Linked DNA regions of Rattus norvegicus. The main gene of each other region encodes a partner of the protein of the gene in region 3 in a complex. Links are inferred from orthologs where the notes say so. Each region holds a gene or a part of one and is shown on either strand. Other genes may lie near its edges. The genes, in order: Klhl22, Kbtbd4, Rbx1, Dyrk2 and Cul3.

Region 1 (3,511 bases), on a different chromosome or scaffold from region 3:
TTTTTTTTTGGAGACAGGATCTGTCACTGAGACCTGGGCTCCACATTTGGGTGGGGTTAGCCAGCAAACCCCAGGTGCCTGTCCAAGTACTAGGGTCACAAGCAGGTATCACTGTGCTCAGCTTTTATGTGTGCTGAATCAGACTGGTCCTATGCTTATGTAAAAGTACTGTATGGACTTAGCTATGATCGCGGCCTGGTTACATGTACATCTGAGCTAGGCTGTTTTCAGCTGATTATAAGTTTATAAACAGACAATCCTATCATGAATGGAGAAACAGCTTTAATTATGTAAGTAGCCAAATAAGAAAGAGAGAGGCATACAGAAGGGATAGGAAGACGGGCCACCCGCCCTTGCTGCTTGAAGATGAACCTGCTGGCCTTAGGACTATGGGAAGAGACTCGAGTTACTTAGGCTTCGGGGATCAGCGGTAGAAACAATGAGGACATTATACACCAGGTCACTCCCTCACCATGGGAGGAAATGTCAATCCAGGTGACCCAGGCCCACTCTCAGTCCTTCCAAACCAAAGGTCTGGGGTCTGGTCTAAAATTCTTGAACTTGGAAGAATCCAAAGTCCCTGACGAGCTCTTCAGAGCCAGTGTCCCTCATAAGGTAATGGGAGTAAAGCTCAGACCCTAAACAAAGCACTGCTGAGCTACGGAGTGGGGCATGGGCAGGCAGAGTTAGGAAGCTGGCCCACTGGCACGAACCTGCATTTCCAGCTAACGAGCATGAAGGATTGCCAGATTAAAGAACTCTGACTAGGCTACAAAGTGAGTTCAAGGCCAGCCTGGGCAACTTACTGAAGCCCCACCTCCAAATAAAAAGTAAAAAGACATTTGTAGATTAACTCTGTAGTAGAAAGCTTCTCTAATTCACGTGTACGTGCAGGTGGGGGTGGGGTGGAGTGGGGGAAGCAAAATGTTAAATTGGAGGAAGGTAGGGACAAATGCTGGTGAGAAAAGCATATTCTGTTTAATTTCATTTCACTGCGTAGCCTAGTCTAGTCTCAAATTTGCAATCCTCCAGCCTCAGACTTTGAGTGCTAGAGTTACAGGAATGGACTACCACACTTGGCTTGGGATGCTCTCTGACTATGAATAGCTATGAGCAAGTCACGGACGGACTGAGAACCAATAATACAAGTAGAGGGTACGAGTTCTTCTCATTCTTCTCTATTCTGGTAGGGTCTACAATATGGGTTTGGGTATACTGGCTTTTTAATGCAAACATAACAACTAAAGGCACCAGGGAAACTCCTATGGAGGGCATATGTATGCATCCTATGGAATGTGCAACATTATGAGTCCTCAGGCTATGTTAGTATGGGTTCAATGAATCTAGCACATGTCCTTCTCATGAAGGACACACATAGTGGGGAAGCTATGCATGCATGGAATCAGAGGGGACCGGGGAACTCCCTGGACTTCTGCTCATTCTCAAGTGGGTGGCCTGGGCCCTGCTCACCTGGTGCACATCTCTCCTGTAGCCGGCATCATTGTTGCTGCCTCCAATCACAAACAGCTTGTCAAGGAGCGCAGCCATGCCGTGCCAGGCGCGTCGAACAGGCCCATCGGCTAGAGTGTGCCACGTGTTGCTTCCTGGGTCATAGCAGTGTGTCTCTTTCAGGTAGTCCTCTCCTCTGCGACCACAGGTGATGTACATCTTCCCTTGCAGCGTGGTGCCTGCATGGGCATATACCTGTTTGGAGTCACCAAGAGAACCAGGAAAGGTAAAGAGGGGCAAGAAGGCTGTGAGGAAGCTGGTCAGGTAGTCTCTACTGAGGCTACGGCCACCCTTCTGCATCTGCCTGATAACACAGCAGTCGAGGCCAACCACAGCTGACGTGCCTGCCATTCCGTGCTGGAGAGGGCATGGGCTTCTCACTGAATACACTGCCCTACTTGTTGACCCCTAGCCTCTTTCCAACAGGGCACGTTATCCACAGACCCAGAAACTAAATGTAATCTTTGTGTTTCTTTGCCTCTAAAGGAAACATCTGGACAGGGAACAAGAAAGTCAAGGCTCACTTCCAAGTTGCCAGAGAAACACACCTGCTCTTGGTGGCTTCAACTTTCTACCAGCTATCTGTCTGCAGATAGTTCCCACACACAGGAAGTAGGCTGTAGGGAAGAAAAGACTGAAACAAGGCATCAAATGTGATTGGCTCTCCATATCCATGTGTTCAACTAAAACTAGGATAAAAAATACTCAAATCCAAAAAAAAAAAAAAGAGAAAGAAAGAAAAAAATATAGACAGACAGACAGACAGACTCAAATCAATATGCTGGATCTGTACTAACCACATGCCAAGGAAGGTTCAGTCTTCTGTATAGAACAATTTACATAAACGTCTACTGTACCATGTATTATAATACAGGATGACCGAACACACAGACTTGCAAATGGCCTACCACTGAGGCTAGCATTCTTCTTAATACTTTTGTTGCTGCTGTTTTTGGAGACAGACTCTCCTGACTCCCAGGGTGACCTAGAACCTGCTATGCAGCCAAGGATGGTCCTGCGCCTCTGATCTCCCTCCTCCATCTCCCAATATTAGGCACATCACAGGGGGGTGTGTGTGTATGTGTGTATGTGTGTGTGTGTGTGTGTGTGTGTGTGTGTGTGTGACACCAGGGTTATCTGATGCTGAGGAATGAACTCAGGGTTTCATGCATGTTAGCCAAGACTCTACCAACTGGTCTACATTCCCAGTGTCCGTCCCTCCGTCCCTTCCCTCTCTCCCTCCTTCCTCCACCCCTCTCTCATAAATTACATCCCAACACTAAACCCTCCTCTCTCAGCTCCCACCCCACTTTTGGTGATTTTTGAGACAGTCTCACTGTGTAGTTCTAGCTGTCTTGGAACTCACTCTATAGCAACATACCAACAACCCCTACTTGGTTTTTTTTTAGCTTTCAGAAAAGGACTGGCTTCACAGTCCTTAGCCCAGGATGGCCCTGAACGTTTTATCTTCCTGCCTCTCCCTCTGAAGCTTGGATATATAGGCTTTACACAAATACTGTTAAGATTTCATTATCCTTGAGGGTGGGGATCCTAAAACTAACCTAGTTTGTATCATAAAGGACAGCTATACAAAGAACACCCCCTCTCCAGTGATGGTGTGTATAAGGAGACACTAGCCTGCAATGCTCAACGATTTTCTGCCCCTACTTTGGCAGCTCTGTCCTTCTGGGCTACCCATCTAACCATATGTGCACTCACTGGCTCCTCCAAGTCTTACTGACTCAAAGCCAATGGCCAACAGAAGGCTCTGATCGTGTGAGGAGAAGGGAGCTCTGCAGGGTCCTGGAGACTGCATGGTAGCGTCATAGGACTGGTTACTGTGTGTGAGCTGGAGAAGCACAAACACACAGCAGCAGAGCAGGCACAGAGTCTGCATCTTCTCCCAGCATACGTAGTAGGCTGCAGAGCTTAATTTTTATTTCCAATTAATAATTTTTAGATTAAAGGGTGCCCTGCTTCCTTCCAAAAGTTTCTCTAAATA
Region 2 (4,248 bases), on a different chromosome or scaffold from region 3:
GTATGCTTTGTCCGCACATGGCTGTGTACCACATGTATGTCTGGTATCCACGATGGTCAGAAGATGGCGTTCCTGATGGGAACTGAACCATGGTCCTCTGTAAGAATAACAATTGCAAGAGCAACAAGCCATCTCTGCAGTCTCATCAATGGCAATCTCAAAGGGGGTCCAAGGGGAACCACAGCTGGCTGTAGTAGAGCATGCCTCTAATCCTAGCACTTGAGGGCAGAGGCAGAGGCAGGCTTATTTCTGTGAGTTTAAGGCCAGCCTGGTCTACATAGTGAGTTACATGCACACAGGCAGGACTATATAAAGAGACACTGTCTCAGAAAAGAGGCCTGAACCATTTTATTAGACCACCATTATATGTATCTGCTTATGCACACGTAAATATGACGTTAATCTGAAATTGCCCCAGGACTACCATGCTGCAGTGCTCAGACTAGACCCAGAGTTCCATGTACCCCAACTCTACCACTGAGTCATACCACTAGCCCTGCCTGGCTTTTTAAGAGAAGCGATGACACAATATGTCACAGTAGTCACTCATCGGGCTATGGAGTTCACATCTAAAATACGGTGCCACCTCACTTGTTACCTAAGATTATTACCCAAATGTTTCTTATTTTACATTTTTTGTTTTTTGTTTTTTGAGTCAGGGTTTTGTTGTGTAGCCCTGGCTGTCCTATAACTCACTTTGTAGACCAGGCTGTACTGGAACTCACCGGTATCTGCTTGCCTCTGACTCTGGGTCCTGAGTGCTGGGGATTAAAGGCATGGCCACCACATGTGGCTATTTTAGATATATTGATTCATCACCATCTTCATCAGTTTATTTAAGAATTAGTCCTGTAGGCTTTCAAGGTACAGGGCAGATGAGAACATCAGGCACTGATTCCTTTTGTGGAAAAGTGATGCAGATTTTAGTCTTTAGTTACTGTAAAGCACCCTGTCTCTGACAGTAGCTACACTGATTCTCAACACTCAACCTCACTCTAAAATCCCTACCAGCGCGGGTTGGGGATTTAGCTCAGTGGTAGAGCGCTTGCCTAGCAAGCGCAAGCCCTGGGTTCGGTCCCCAGCTCCCAAAAAAAAAAAAAAAAAAAAGAAAAGAAAAGAAAAAAAATCCCTACCAGGAAGGGAAATATAATGTAAACAACAGTTAGTTACATAAAGTTGGGGTTCTCCCGAACCGGAACATCCACTGAACATCACTCTGGCATAGCTGGGTGTGCTAAGCCCCTCCTTGAACTTACCTGAGATGATATCAGTGAGTAGATGGTGGGGCAAGTGGAGAAACTCCTCTGTGCTCTGCAGCTGGGCCAGGTGGGTCTTGGCACAGTGCTTGGCAGCAGTGTAGAGCTCGGGGTCACTGTGCCTATCTGCAAGCCACATCACCTGAAGGCAGTTTCCCACTTGGACTGTGCGTGCCAAAAACCGGGAACATTCCTCAAAGAGAGATGTCAGCTGATACATGTCTGACACCTCATAAATCTCCTGCAGCTCATCAGCCCGAAGTTTCACAGTCCCATGGTATATATAATCAACCAGGAGCTGGAACACAGACTCACTGACATCTTGCAGCACAATTACCCGGTTGTGAGCTTCCTTCAGGTTAGATGTGAACATGGATCGGAAGAAGCAGCTCTGAGCTGACAGGACCAGCCGGTGGAGCTGAAACTCTCGGCCTTCCACTGAAATGGTGACATCAGCAAAGAGCTCCTCCTCTAAACACAGTTTCATAATGCCCTGAGCCACTCGGCCTGAGTGAGACCGGTCTTTGAAAGTATAGTTCACAAAGTAGTTTTCATCCATGGATGCTCCAGGCTCCTCTGGTGACTCCATGGTAGCCAACTTCTCTTTCTGCCAACTATCTGCAAAGCAATACCACCCTAAGTATTTGGGCAATTCACAGACACAGTCCATGAATCCAGATGTCCAACTCAGGATAAGGAGAAGGGAGGCATTGGAGCAAAGTGTGTACAGACTGGCCCTTATTCCTGGCCCTGCCAAGATGGCCTATGACATTCCTGCAGTTTTCCTGCAGTGGGGCCTCTCCTCCTGTGAATTCAATTAAAGTTCCAACTCTGTTGTTTTTCCTTAAGGTAAAATCGGATATTCCTGATGATGATGTAACAAAAGACTTGGGACTTAGGTCAACCCATGTAAAAGACGAAGGAGGAAGCCTATGATCTCAAAACCAAATAATTTGGATATACAACTAATGAGACTCAGGAGAAGCATAATTAGACCAAAAAAAAAAAAAAAAGAGGAAGTAAATGAAATAAGAAATCCAGGTATTGTGGTTAGATTCCCTCTTTGCTTGGACATAAGAATGCAGACCCTCCGATATTGAGGCCTGGGCTTGGACATACATTACTTCCACTTTTACTCTTTCCAAAGCTGCTGTTTCTTACTTACCTACTCGCTCCAATGAGTTCTTAAAGAAGCCTGAGAGAGCCCAGCCGTCCCCGGCCGGGGGCACAAGGAAGTCCATAACCCTGTGCAATCTGACCGCGCCACCTAGAGTCGCCTAGGAAACGGTCTCCAAGGAAACCGTCCATCGACTCCCCCACCCCCGCCCCCCATTAAAAGCTTAGCTCAGGAGCCAGAGAGCGGTGTAGAACTTAGAACCCAGAACGCCCACCCTTTCCCTTTCTCTCACCCGTCCGATTCTTTGCGTCTTCTTCTCTTCGGCCTCCGCCGTACCAAAATAGGGCTACGTAGAACCTCACGGTTTCCCCACCTGCGGGTCTTTCTTACCTGCGTTACCTCCTTTCATGCCAATGTTCAGATCCGGAACCTCTGCTTCCCGCCCCGTGTCCGCCCGGAAGAAGATTCATTGCACATTTCCACTTCCGGTCCGTGCCCTTGAGGCTCCGTGGCCTGTGTGTGTTTTCCGGCTACTTAGTCGGCACCCTAAGGAACATGGCGTCTGCTGCAGCCAGGGTCTGGTGCCGTGGGCTCTTGGGGGCTGCTTCCGTAGCCAGGGGTGAGCAAAGAACAGCAGGCCGAGACCACGGGCAGCGGCAGAGGCACACCTTGCACATAGACCTCCTCGGGTCTCACCCGCGCCTTTGTGCCTTTTATCTTCCTGTGCAGGGGCTGGGCGACCCTCAGTGCTGTTGCAGCAGCGTGTGAGAAGGGAGAGCGCGGCGGCTGACAAGCGCCGTGAGTATGTGCGGATAGCGCTCTTCTCTTCAACGTTAGCAGGGGTCTTCCATTGTTTCTGCCAGATGTTTGTCCTTGCCCTGGAATGTCCTTCCCTTCTGGCAAATCTCTGCTTGCCCTTGGAGATTGCTATGGTCTCCACCTTGCTGTTAGAAACGAGTACTTCCTGTGCCCTAGATATTTGTTCCCTTCTGATCTTGATCGCCCTTTGCTCGTTTTCACAATCTTCTATTTTTTCCCTCTGGTTAAATTGTCTTTGACAGCAAGTAACAAAACTTTTGATACTCAGAGACCAGAATAATAGTAGCTCACATCAATTTAGTATTTACTAGACACCTTAAAGATTTAAGCCGTATAGTGAATGGTTTCCTTTGGACTTCATGAGAACCATGAGATGCATCATATTTTACTGTCCATATAGATGTATAAATCATGAAGCGGTCAAAATAATTAAATTATTCAGTTATAGTGCCAGTGAACGACAAAGCAGGTCTGCCTGTTTCCAAGTGCAGAAAATACTTAATTCTTTTTTTTTAAAGATTTATTTATTTATTATATATAAGTACACTGTAGCTGTCTTCAGACACACCAGAAGAGGTGAGCCACCATGTGGTTGCTGGGAATTGAACTCAGGACCTCTGGAAGAGCAGTCAGTGCTCTTAACCACTGAGCCATCTCTCCAGCCCAATACTTAATTCTTGATTCTGTGATGTGTGGGTGCTCAAGTACTTGAATGACCATGTGGTGATTTTATGTTCAGTCAACAGAATCACACGGGTAAATGGAAAACCTGGCTTTTTTTCATTTCTGGACATCTATTACACAAAGTGACTGGGAATGGAGTGTGGGCAGTGAGTGAATCAGGGTTCTTCAGCGCTGAAGTTCTTTGACAAAGAACTTGGTCTAAACAAATACCAAGAAACAGAAGTCTGGTTCCCATCCTTAAAGAGCTCCGAGTCTGATAGGAGAGCTGACACTGTTACATTGTTGTCATGAGTACAAGAAGTGAGGAACAGCTGAGGAACAGTGTAGAAAAGAAGCAAAGATTACCCACTACATTAACAAAAGTGTATGTAC
Region 3 (4,213 bases):
ACCCTGTCTCCAAAAATAACAACATGCAATCTACTTCAAACACTCAAGTACCTACGGGTTCTGACCCTGCTTTGTATTCACTGGTAAAGAAGACAATTGGGCACACGAGGATGACCGCCATTTCTCTCTTCCTCAACGCCTTCCCACCCGCCCCGAGTTACTTACAAAGATCCATAATGTGGTTCCTGCAGATGGCACAGTTATCAACCACAATATCCCAGGCCCAGAGGGCTACTGCATTCCACTGCAAGGAGAAGAGGGGAAACAATGCATTTTCTGGGTAACATAACAGACTCGTTAGGATTTCAGCTGCGGCTTCAGTTACCAACTCCCTGGCCATAGGGCCTAGCAAAGAAAGAATGATTTTTGGATTGCATTATTTGTACAACATCAGAGGGTAACAGCAGACCACGTGTACACTTCCTCATTCCTGAACATGGGTACTTTTAATTTTTTTTTTTTTTTACTTTTATTTATTTACTCTCCATTAGTTTAAATCTGGGATGGGTACAGCATCACACGGATTCTGTGTCCAATGGCCTTTGCAGGAAGGTTGCTTTGGAATTTGGCACGAACCACGCCACTGTTTCCATGGGCCCGAGTTACTTTTCCCCAGATCACTCTGGTTTTGTTTGGTTTGCCTCCAGGAGTCACTGTATTGTTTTTTGCTTTGTACACATAAGCACACCTCTTGCCTAAGTAGAACTCAGTTTCATCTCGGGCATAAACGCCTTCAATTTTTTTTTTTTTTTCGGAGCTGGGGACCGAACCCAGGACCTTGCGCTTCTTAGGCAAGCGCTCTACCACTGAGCTAAATCCCCAACCCCAAACGCCTTCAATTTTAAGAAGAGCCGTGTACTCTCTTTGGTTCAGGAGGCCTGGCTTGTAGCCAGCAAAAATGGCCTTGCACCACAGCCTTCCAGACATACTTGTTTTTTTTAGAAGTCCTGTTCCCAGTGGGCTTCCAAAGGCGCCAAGATGGCGGAAAGAGGAAGGCAAGCCCCACCGCGCCAATTTTTTTTTTTTTGGTCTATAGCATAAAATAATTTAGCTAGCCAAACCGACGTGGGAATATTAGAGCTATTTTTTGAACACCCATTTTAGCTTCAAGTACAAACTTGAACTAATGTGGAGCTGTTCCTGACAGATGTGGTCGAACTCAAAATCTGCCTAAGTATTTGCTCTCCACGCAGTTTTGGACTCGGAGGAAGAGAGGTGAACAGACTGAACTACGATAATAAATGGATCAATCGCTAAGGGGATAATCGTGGGATAAGCTGGATAGTGAGTTACCTACCCAGTGTCAGCACACAGAACAAGGTCATCACTTACACCTCACAGCACTGCAAGCAAGTCAATCCAGTGCAATTTTCTTGTCCTCTTACCAAGGAAACTGATGTTCCCAACGTTCATATGTCCAAACTATTATTTTGCTAGTTCTAGTAAATTGATCCAAGACTTACACTGGGCAGGACACCCCTTTCTTTCTTTTTTTTTTTTCTTTTTTCTTTTTTTCTGGAGCTGGGGACCGAACCCAGGGCCTTGCGCTTGCTAGACAAGCGCTCTACCACTGAGCTAAATCCCCAACCCCTAGGACACCCCTTTCAAGGACTACTTTGGTTTGACTTCTCAAATTCAAGTATTCGAGTCTAGTAAATTCGACATTATTTCTATTATTCTTCCATATGGCTGCAGGCCGTAACTGAGCAGCAGTGGCCACAATGAGATGACAAAAAAAGAGTGGGGTGGGGAGGTGTTCTCAGCGACTCTTTCCAAAAGTAATACATACAAAAAAAAAAAAAACAAAAACAAAAAGGAAAAAAAACCCCAAACAAACCAACAAAAAACCAAAAACACCTTCCCCACTTCAAGATCTTCATTTTGAGCAGATTTATGTAATCTTAGGTAGGAACGGGCACTTTTCTCTTAAAGTGCTAGAAAACTATGAAGGGAATAGAATACAAAAGGACGTTTCATATTTTTTGTGTTCCCAGGTCATTAACAATTAGTACTCCGCCTTCTTAAATGGCACAAGTTCTGGGCTTGCTTTTAAAACAAAGCCCACCAGACTTTTTAAATTACCATTTTGTGTTAGAAGTGTACACGGGCATTAGAGAACCATTGGAGTGGCAGAAGCTATGTGACAACTAGTACACGTCTCGGAAGAACCAAGCTTTACACTTGAGACTGTGGGTTTAGAAGGCTAATGGAGGCCGCCATACAATCGAGGGCCCACACCAGGTCCCTCGGAGTCAATAGATTCTAGGATCCAGGAAGGGGCGGAGCAAGAACACCGGCAGAGCTCTTCTGCGGTGTCATCGCACGTTCCCGGGTTTCTCCGCACAGCCCCATCCTCCACCCGCCGCAGTCTCTTCACGAGTCTCCATCCTACCCACCCCACCCTGTCCTTCCCCCAACTCTCAGTCACTTCAGTGACAGCTTAAGCGCTTGGCTCCCGCACCGAAGTTAACCTCGCGTATTTCAGTAAGCAGCTCTGCGATTGGACCCACAGCTTTCCCAGCGAAACTAATATGGCCAAGACAGTGGGCCACCATCATGCCGATCAACCCTAGGCCCGCCCCCCGGCTTCCTTTAGTGGTACCCGGTCCCAGGAACGCCCTGAAATGAAGCCCTTTCCCCCGCGCCTAGCTCTTCCTCGGGCCTGCCAGCCATATCCGCGCCTCCCTAGATTCCTTGAGGAAGGCGCTGGCGAGACCCAACCTTTTTAACTTCAAAGCGCTTCTTGCCCGCGCCGCTGTTGGTGCCGCTGGGGGTATCCACATCCATCGCCGCCGCCATTTTGGAAACACACTGTCGTGCGACCACTGCGCCTGCGCATCGGCTCACTTTCCGCCGCCTGCCCTCTCGCCAGGCTCCTCCTCTCGCACCCCTCCCCTTATTGGCGCGTGCGGGTAGAAGGGGCGGAGGCTGCGGTCACGCCCCTTAAAGGCGCAGGCGGAGGTTCCCCGTCGCTCTCAGCTGGGGAGGAGGCTGGAGTGATTGAGGCGGGGTCGGGCGGGGCCGGGCGGAGCCGGGCGGGGCCGAGCGAAGGGAGCCAACTGGTGGGAATGTCCCTGAGGTCTGAATACTGCTCGCCTTCTGGGAAACCCTGTGGCCTGACTCCTTCTTCTGGGGCGGCGGCTGCTTCCTCCTTCTGCCCCAGAATTTATACCTGATCCAGACCCACAGCGCTGCCCCCAAGGCCGCGGTGCAAAGGGCATGGGCTGGTCTGTGGAAACCCGAAACTCCAAAACGTTCAAAACGGCCTTCTGCTGACCGTGGCCGGCTTGGGGGCCCTGTGACTCGGCTTTCCAAGGCCCGGGCACGGTCTGCGTTCTCAACTTCAGTTTGGGAAATTATTTGATAGGGAGAGAGAGGCCTGAATGTTCTGCCCAGGAACAAACAGAGCAGGCATTCTGCAGCTCTGCCTTCACCTTCTCACCAGAAAGACACGGAGAACACGTAGGAGCCTGGGAGATGCCATCCTCCTTTCTCCCCATTTCCCATCCGAGTTTTGCTACTTGTGCTACAGTTAAATTAGTACATTTGTAGTGGCCAAACTTGAATTTGGGTGAGGCATTCTGATTTTCTTACCGGTCATTACCACCGAGCTAAGAACCTGTATCTTTTGTCATGCTTCCATGTTTAGCCCAGCCCTCCACTGTTTTATCTCCTAAATTTGCAGAGGTATGACTAGAATACATCACCCTCGAACTTCTTATGTGTTCTAGTTCCCTCAACAGGACAACAATGACGTTTTATCTGAAATGCCCACTTGAAAGAAATACTGGCGTGCAATTCAGTGTGCTGTTGATGTCCTTGCTGAGCAGGGCAATACATCCGGAAACACCACCACAGTTTTAACTTGCACAAAGAAGACTTGCTACAGCCTGCAAGGAGTGTGTGTGTTGGCCCAAGTTCTACCTCCCACACTAAAATCGTCATTGATTTATGTGTCAATAGACTCCCTAAGGGATGCTAGAAACCCATAGTTAATTAAGATACTGAGGGCATAGTTATCCATTCTTCAACAACTATCTTGAGCATGCTACTTGGTCTTTTAATTTTTGTTTTACTATTATTGTTTATTATTATTATTTCTGAGACAGGGCCTCACTCTGTAGCCCAGGCTGTCCTTAAAATCTGAGCAATTGGGGCTAGAGAGATGGCTCAGCGGTTAAGAGCACCCAACTGCTCTTCCAGAGGTTATGAG
Region 4 (4,043 bases), about 59 Mb from region 3:
TCCACGGACTCCTGACAGCTCAGTTAACTTGTGGAGTCTTCATTCCCATGCAAACATGCACAGGAGCCGGATAAACTCTGTGTTCCTCAACGCCCCTGAGCCGGGAAACCTGTAGAGTCCTACGAACCACATCAAAACACTTGAAACATAAAGCTTCACTTTCAAAACGGAGCGTCCAAGGATGCGGAGCAACTGAAATTTACCCTTCGGTGTATAACAGCCATGTCACACACAGGCCACAGCACAGCACAGGCATCTATGCCGAAATCACCTTCATGCCTTTTCCTTTCCGGTGCCACACAGGCTTTCCACTTGTGGCAGTTTTCCCCTCTCCCAATTTCATGACATATTTCAGTTGCAAAGAAGTTCTGATCAGGCAAAGGCCATCCTTAACAAAACTTGGAAATCGAATGCAAATTGAGTTATTCCTTGTCCAGTTCACAACATGTAACACGATCACACCAACACATGGGGGGGAAATGGACGCTGGGTTTTCCAAACTGTCAGATGATTCTAAACCAGCCAAAACCACAGAAAAGCCAAACCTCCAAAACCAACGATGACTCCTTTCTAGGATGCCCTTGTGGCAGTCACATCCCCACTACCTGCAGGCTCTCTTTCCCAGCGAGATAGTACGACCCAGATGAGTTCATCCCTGTGTAATGAATCCCCAGCTCCTAGCATAGACTCACCGAGAAAAACAGAGAATAACAAAACATGTCTATGAAATTGTCTACCTCTCTTGTACGCCTCCAGCACAGCTAACGTCGGTCTCATCTCCCGTGATAAACAAGTTTCAGTCACAAATGACTCCCCTTCTTCCCCCCAGAGATGCTCCCTGCAGGCCACAAACCATGGGTGGGTACTTTCAAGCAACTTTCACTTAGCCACAAAATCCTACATCCTGCAGGCAACCTCACACAGAAACCATCCTAGGTTGCTCACATTCCCAGAGAGCCTTTGGGAAAGAGATCTTTAAAACCATCACCTGCAAGCGCACACCTCCTTTAGGCTCATGGTCACCATCCAAAGGCCATCGCTAGGGGCTGAGGAAAGGTACAAGCTGAAGTCAGCCCAGCTCCCCAGTCTCTGCAGCCACCAGTCCCAGGCTCCGCACTCCCCAGGGCCTCAAGGGACTGCACAGCCCTTGTCAGGTGCCCTTCCCTTGCCACCTACAAAGCAAAGCCGGCCCTTTCCTTTTGAGTCAATATCCACGCTGAGAATCCTACAGTGGTGGTTGTTTTGTTTTGACTACTGCTGTAGCTCTTATTTTTGTTAATGTTAATTACAATTTCTGCTGTGCTCAAACCTGTAGCTCTCATAAAACATGCTTACACACGCGGGGGACAATTGGCGGGTGCTCCCTGCTGGCTGCAGCCAGGCCTCTGAGGCTCTTTGGGGGATCGATTTTCCGGGCAGGGTAGCCTAGCTGTCCCCTAACACATACGTTTCTATAAATATCCACTACCCCTGGGGTTGGGAATAGATGTTTACCGGCCGGGGAAGGGAGCTCTAGGAAGCACAGATGAAAAAAGGGGGGAGGGGGCGCAAGGAGGAAGTTCCCAGGAAAAGGAGCTCTGGTGTGGGCGAGCTTCAGAGGGAAGCGAGGGGCCCACGCCACGAATCTCTTTTGTGGCAGCAGCTCGGGGCTCGCCCAAGTTACAGAGGGCGGCGTCGAGGACAGGCCCCTGCCAGGGGCGTGGAGATTCGGCCCTCTCTTCCCACAGCAAGAACCCAACAAGCCAGGGGTCTGCCCGGCGCCCTCCCAAAGCCAGGTCTCACCGTGTGGGATGTAGTGGTAGCGTTGCTGGCCCGGAGAGGCGGCAGGGCGATGGGGGAGGGTGGGCCGGTCCCCACTCCGCTTCGGGGAGCCCCCGCGCCGATCCCCGGGGAAGCCTGAAGCTGGCGAACGGCGGTGTCCCCTCCTCGGCCTGGGAGCCACGCGCGGGAGGAGACAAAAGAGGGTCAGGGTGGGGAAAGAGAGCTACCCAGACCCCCGCCCCCGCCCCGGTGGGCAGAGAACCCCCTCTTCCAGGGAGAAGATGGAAGGAGACACCCGGCCCGGGAAAAGCCGGCGGCGTGCGGGAAAGGAGGGGGGTCGGGACGCGGCTCCCCGGCGCGCACCCGCCAGCTGCAAAGTTAAGTTCGCGACCCGGAGGGGAGCAGCGCTGGGCCAGAGCTCCGGAGCCCACGTCGCCGGGCCGGGGGAGGGGAGGGCGGGCCACCGAGAGGGCGCTGCGGCGGGGTCGCGCTCCGGATGCCCCTCGCTCAACCCGCCGGGTTCAGGGATCCCGGGGCACCAACACGCGCAGCCCGCGCCCCGTGCCGCCGACAGGGTCCCGGGGCCCTTACCGGTCGGGTAGGCGGCGGGAGCGGCGGCCGAAGGTTTCCTGGTTAACATGGCCGCGGGAGAGGAACGTGCATGGCAGTGCTGCCCTCGCCGCCGGTCCCGCCGCTACTCCTCGCCGCCGCCGCCGCCGCCGCCGCCTCCTGGTCGCCCCTCACGCGGGTCCCCCGCGCCTCGTCGCTTCCTCTCTCCCGCTACAGCCAGACACACGCAGTCCACTGCATCCCCTCGGCCCGGACCCGCCGCCGCGAGCCCCCCGCTCTCCTCCTCGCCTCCGCCGTCCCCCTCGTCCTCGGGCGGCTGCTGTACCCCCCGGCCCGTGCACATGCCTCGCCCTCCCCTGCCGCACCGCTGGCCTCCCCGACTCCCTCACATCGGGGCCGCGGGGAGCGGGCTGCGGCCGCCGGGACCCACTCGCTCGGGAGCCTCCTCCCGGGCCTGCGCGCGTTCGCGCACACTCGCACACACGCTCGCCCCCGCGGCTCGCGCCCGAGAAGGCCAGCCCCGCCCCCGCTGAGGCCCCGCCCCGGACTCCCCCGGCCCCAGCCACACAGGCTGGCGGCCACCCCACCCCCACCCGCCACCCCGGGAGTCCCACCCTCTCCGATCTTCCGCAGAGCCGTCCTCCGCTCCCAGGAAAACTGCGGCTCGGGCTCGCCCTGCGCCTCCCCTGCGGCCATCTGCCCTCTCCCCGTGTCCCCCTCGCCCCTGCGACGCCCCTCCCTGCCCTACCGCGCAACCTACCGCGGCCGGCCTCCTCCCGAAATTGCTGCAGAGACCCCTCCCTCTCCCATCACGCCCCTAAACACCGCCCCTAATGGCTGCTCCCAGACAATACTGCGGCCCCCCAGCCCCGGCCCCTGTCCCTGTCCCAGTGGCCCAGCCAACCCCTCTCCCCAGTTTTATCATGGAGAGAACTTAGTTGTATGAGGGTCACCTCGGAAAGTCAGGCCCCGAGGAGGGACTGCGGCTGAGCTTGGTGACCCAAGCATGGACGAAGGAAGGGGCTGCCCTTCCACTTCCATCTCGGCCACGCACGCCCTCCCTGATTCACTGACACCGAGTGACCGCTGCCCTCCAGTCTCTAGGACAAGGGGAGGCAGACAGGCGCCTGTGGACCGCAGCTGAGGTAGCAGTTGGCTGTGGGTTGCTAGGCAAAAATAAACATCAGAGACGCCTCCCATTTCCTTACAACTCGAAGCCTTTCCCCAGCGCGGCCACTGAGACAGACACACCTTCCTTTCAGCTCTCTGCTGCACTGGGGCGACACCTCTGATTCCCCACATCCTCGGAGGAAAAGATTCTTTTTTTCTTTCCCTTCCCAGACACGTGGAGAATTTCCCTGCCCTATTCATTCGTGGGCTACAGCCTCTGCTTCCCAGAAAGAACAGCATTTGTTTCTCTGTCGCACACCTATGCTTTGTCGTGCGTGGCACACTTGGGCACCTTTGTCCACTTGAACAGTCAGGTGTGGAGCGAAAGCTCGAAAAATCCCCAGCAGATAGGGAAGAAAGTTGGACCGCGTCCAGGCATGCACTTCCTTCCTGGGAGGTGCCTAGTTTCTGAACTGCTCCTGGAGTCCTGTGTCCATCCCTTATTGCCCTGCTCCTTGTGTCTTCTCCAAGTCCCAGAGTGCTGGCCCCAACTAGAGCAGACTTCAGTCTAGAGGGAGCTACCTCCTGCAGAGTTGTACAGG
Region 5 (3,511 bases), on a different chromosome or scaffold from region 3:
ACCCAGCCACAGCACTCCTGAGTATATACACAAAAGATGCCCCACTCTACCACAGGACACTTGCTCAACTATATTCATAGCAGCTTTACAGAAAGTGGAAATAATTTAATGTCCCTCAACTGAAGAATGGATAAAGAAAATGTGGTACATTTACACAATGTTAATGGAATACTACTCAGCTGTTAAGAAATTTACAGGTAAATGGATGGAACTAGAAAAGATCATCTTGAGTGGGGTAACCTAGACCAAGAATATACTCACTTATAAGTAGACATTAGTGTAAGGTAAAAAATAACTATGTTACAATCATAGGCCCAAAGAAGGTAAGTAATAAGCAGGGGACTTGTCAACCTCACTAATTAGAATCGACATCATGGATGGACAGAGGGGAGGGGGCTAGACAGGGAAGGGGATGGGAACAGGAGGGATTAGGTGGTGAGGAAGACAGGAGTACTAGGAAAGACACCTGGCATGGAGGTCACATTGCTGAGACAAGCTAGAAACAGGGCAATAAAACTCCCAGGAGGATATGGAGCCTGAACCAGCCATCTTTGGTACACAACAATCCAGACACAAAAACTTTTGGTCTACAATTTGTGTTCAGAGGTGAAGATGGAACAGAAACTGAGGAAGTACCCAACCAATGATTGGTCCAGCATCTGAGACACATGCCATGAGAGGAATCCCACCCCTGACACTATTAATAATATTCTGCTATACTCGCAAGTAGGAGCCTAGCATAACTGTCATCAGAGAGACTTCACCCAGCAACTGATGGAAACTGATGGAGACAGACCCAGTGCCAAACATTAAGTGGAGCTTGGGGAATCCTGTGGAAGAGGGGCAGGACGTTGTAGGAGCCAAAGAGGTTAAGGACACAAGAAAACCTACAAACCAACTAACCTGGGCCCACAGAGGCTCAATAGACTGAATTGCTGGAAGAGTCTACATGGGACTGACCAACCTAGGCCCTCTGCAAATGTTCCAGTTGTGTAACTTCCTTAGTCTTTCTGTGGATGCCTAACAGCAGGAGCAGGGCCTGTCCTTGATTCTGCTGCCAGCCTTTGGGACCCTTTCCCCCTATTGTGTTGCCTCATCTAGAAGATGCACCTAGTCTTATTGCAACTTAATATGCCAAGGCTGGTTGACAGTCATGGGAGGGCTCACCTAAGGAGTAGATGGGAGAGGACTGGGAGGAAAGGAGGGAGTTGAAACTGAGGTCATAAAGTAAATAAATTAATTAACTTAAAAAAGTAATGCAGATTCTTACCCCCGTTGCCTGTAGATGTTGCCTGAACTCATCCATAGTTGTGTTTGAGATGCTCATATCCCTAAACATTCCTTCCAGTTTCGATGTGAATTGACATCCACACTCAGTCTATGGAAAAAGATCACAAATACGTACAAATAGCAAACTTTCCCGTGAGAAAGTGTAGAAAGTCTTTTATGTTATTGCCATCTCTAATTATTCTTCTGAAAGTCTTTCTAGTGGTTGCTCTGAGTCTGTGGCTACTAAACCTTAGCATGTTTAAAAATAACTTAAGGATTTTAGTTTAAAACATAATTTCTAGGCTCCTCCAGATTCCACCATACTCAAGGGAGAGTAGAGTATACTGAAATGTCCTACAGACATCTCAAGTGACGATGACACAGATCAGTTTAGAAACTAGTCCATGCGACAGTGCTACACAACTTTGATGCTCTGTACCTTTAACACATGGAAACAAAGCCTATGCCCTGCTCAAAATGGCTACAACAGTGTGGGTGAACACCAGCATAGTGAGTCAACATCATTTGGGAATACTGCATTCATCTTAAATAAAGCTTACCTTTAATTTAGAAATCATATTTTTTTCAGAGTCATCAGAAACACTTTTATTTGTGAGCAGTCTTCTTGCCAGATGTTGTTTATAGTAACGTTCAAATACATCTTTTTCTTGCATAAACCTAAAAAGGACCATTGCCTTATCCAATATCGTTTCTACTTCCTGTTCTGTTAGCTGAAAAATTAATCAAAAGATAGTTCCGTTTTAAAACCACAATAATTGGTTAAGGGAATGAATGTGATCTGGGACTGTGCCCTACTCCACACACTGTTGTCCTCTCTACTGCACTGAAAGAATGGAGTGCTGCCACTCATATGGGACAGTCACTACTACAGGACTGAGCTAAGTAAAGGATAACCAAAAACAGATAAATTGATTGACGAGGGAAAGAGTAAAACTTTCTGCAGGAACTTGCATAGCCCCAAGAGTTTTGTTTTGTTTTTAAATTCATTAAAAAACTCAAAACTGACAAACAAATGGGTTTTTGTTAAATCCAAAGAATACAGTCTTTACTTCATCTTTTAAATAAAGGAAAGAAAATAGCATAGAAGACTGTAGTATGCTTGTGATTTTAGAAATGAGAGATTAAACTAGACATTATTGCTTGGCAGTCAGTGATTTGTTTCTCACTCAGCTGCCTCTGTAACCTGCAGCCTTTTGCTGCTTTTCTCCTGTCTCGAAATCTCTAAGTTGAGGTTTTAAAAGACCACACACAATCAAAATAGCTTATTTTGATTTTTCTACGGTTCTAAGTGAGCTCCCAAGGTCCCAGAGATAAAACTAAAAATTGAGCTTCAGTGTGTAGAACTTTCAAAAGTTATTTCAGAATTCAGTACACCTTTTCCATTCCTCAAAACCAAGCCCTTCTTGATGTTCTATACCCAGAACCAGATAAAAACAGTGACAATCTGTAACTGCCAGCGAGTTCTCCAATTTGTCATTCCTCTCACTAATTTTCAGCTATAAAGGCAATCATTTTAAAACCTGTAGGTGTGATGTTTGTGCTTTTTCTTTTGGGGGTATTTTTTAAAATGACAATTATATAAGAATGAATATGTGAAATGTCAAGCAATCTTTAAGCATATCTAAGACGTTTAAAAGGAGTGTCTCAAGACCTGCACATAAGTGCAGCAAAGAGGCCTGCCCTCTTTTTACATTTTTATCTGTAAAATACCTTACATTCATTTCCGAACTTTAAATTGCTGAGGAAAATCTACTGCACTTTAGATGCATTACTACTTACCCCTTTGACTCCCTTTTTCAGCTTATCATCAATAAATAATGAGAGGTATTCAGGAGACCTGGAGTTGAGGTTTAAGAAATACTCAAAGTCCCCAGCAATAGTCTGTTTAAAGAGTCGGTCATTATTGAAGGATTCTTGAAGGAAGCGATCAAACCTACTCTTCAGATCCAATAAGCCCTTCCAAATAAAAACAAATTTGGAAAACATTATAAAAATGTTCTTGTAAATAAAATACTTATGATCTAGCCTTACCCTAACATTGTTGGTAATTATGTGTCTGGAGATAATTTTACAGACTATTATTATTTTCCAATCTGTATATATGCTCAAGTGTTAGTAATGGAATGTTCTATCTTTCGCATGTATAATATATCAGGAATACAACAGGGTCCAAGAGATGGCTCAGCAGGTAAATGTACTTTTTGGATCCCTGAAACCCGTA

What was found.
Region 1: Rbx1 (region 3) and Klhl22 share a complex: the UniProt entries of both Homo sapiens proteins name them as parts of the BCR(KLHL22) E3 ubiquitin ligase complex. The link is inferred for Rattus norvegicus from reciprocal best matches to the Homo sapiens genes RBX1 and KLHL22.
Region 2: Rbx1 (region 3) and Kbtbd4 share a complex: the UniProt entries of both Homo sapiens proteins name them as parts of the BCR(KBTBD4) E3 ubiquitin ligase complex. The link is inferred for Rattus norvegicus from reciprocal best matches to the Homo sapiens genes RBX1 and KBTBD4.
Region 4: Rbx1 (region 3) and Dyrk2 share a complex: the UniProt entries of both Homo sapiens proteins name them as parts of the E3 ligase complex. The link is inferred for Rattus norvegicus from reciprocal best matches to the Homo sapiens genes RBX1 and DYRK2.
Region 5: Rbx1 (region 3) and Cul3 share a complex: the UniProt entries of both Homo sapiens proteins name them as parts of the BCR(ARMC5) E3 ubiquitin ligase complex. The link is inferred for Rattus norvegicus from reciprocal best matches to the Homo sapiens genes RBX1 and CUL3.

Annotation. Positions count from the first base shown.
Region 1 is NC_086029.1:96,698,009-96,701,519, forward strand, and holds part of Klhl22 (kelch-like protein 22), read right to left. Parts: intron 1,705-3,511; coding exon 1,471-1,704; intron 1-1,470. UniProt on the Homo sapiens protein: Substrate-specific adapter of a BCR (BTB-CUL3-RBX1) E3 ubiquitin ligase complex required for chromosome alignment and localization of PLK1 at kinetochores.
Region 2 is NC_086021.1:97,338,155-97,342,402, reverse strand, and holds the start of Kbtbd4 (kelch repeat and BTB domain-containing protein 4), read right to left. Parts: upstream 2,808-4,248; 5' UTR 2,783-2,807; coding exon of another isoform or gene 2,764-2,782; 5' UTR 2,666-2,763; intron 2,606-2,665; exon of another isoform or gene 2,498-2,605; coding exon of another isoform or gene 2,422-2,497; intron 1,875-2,421; coding exon of another isoform or gene 1,846-1,874; coding exon 1,257-1,845; intron 1-1,256. Other genes in the region: Ndufs3 (NADH dehydrogenase [ubiquinone] iron-sulfur protein 3, mitochondrial), read left to right, coding at 2,929-2,992, 3,103-3,171. UniProt on the Homo sapiens protein: Substrate-specific adapter of a BCR (BTB-CUL3-RBX1) E3 ubiquitin ligase complex which targets CoREST corepressor complex components RCOR1, KDM1A/LSD1 and HDAC2 for proteasomal degradation.
Region 3 is NC_086025.1:114,869,570-114,873,782, reverse strand, and holds the start of Rbx1 (E3 ubiquitin-protein ligase RBX1), read right to left. Parts: upstream 2,805-4,213; 5' UTR 2,800-2,804; coding exon 2,722-2,799; intron 245-2,721; coding exon 166-244; intron 1-165. UniProt on the Homo sapiens protein: E3 ubiquitin ligase component of multiple cullin-RING-based E3 ubiquitin-protein ligase (CRLs) complexes which mediate the ubiquitination and subsequent proteasomal degradation of target proteins, including proteins involved in cell cycle progression, signal transduction, transcription and transcription-coupled nucleotide excision repair.
Region 4 is NC_086025.1:56,245,858-56,249,900, forward strand, and holds the start of Dyrk2 (dual specificity tyrosine-phosphorylation-regulated kinase 2), read right to left. Parts: upstream 2,804-4,043; 5' UTR 2,402-2,803; coding exon 2,353-2,401; intron 1,932-2,352; coding exon 1,783-1,931; intron 1-1,782. UniProt on the Homo sapiens protein: Serine/threonine-protein kinase involved in the regulation of the mitotic cell cycle, cell proliferation, apoptosis, organization of the cytoskeleton and neurite outgrowth. Functions in part via its role in ubiquitin-dependent proteasomal protein degradation.
Region 5 is NC_086027.1:89,055,926-89,059,436, forward strand, and holds part of Cul3 (cullin-3), read right to left. Parts: intron 3,247-3,511; coding exon 3,070-3,246; intron 2,001-3,069; coding exon 1,830-2,000; intron 1,379-1,829; coding exon 1,271-1,378; intron 1-1,270. UniProt on the Homo sapiens protein: Core component of multiple cullin-RING-based BCR (BTB-CUL3-RBX1) E3 ubiquitin-protein ligase complexes which mediate the ubiquitination and subsequent proteasomal degradation of target proteins.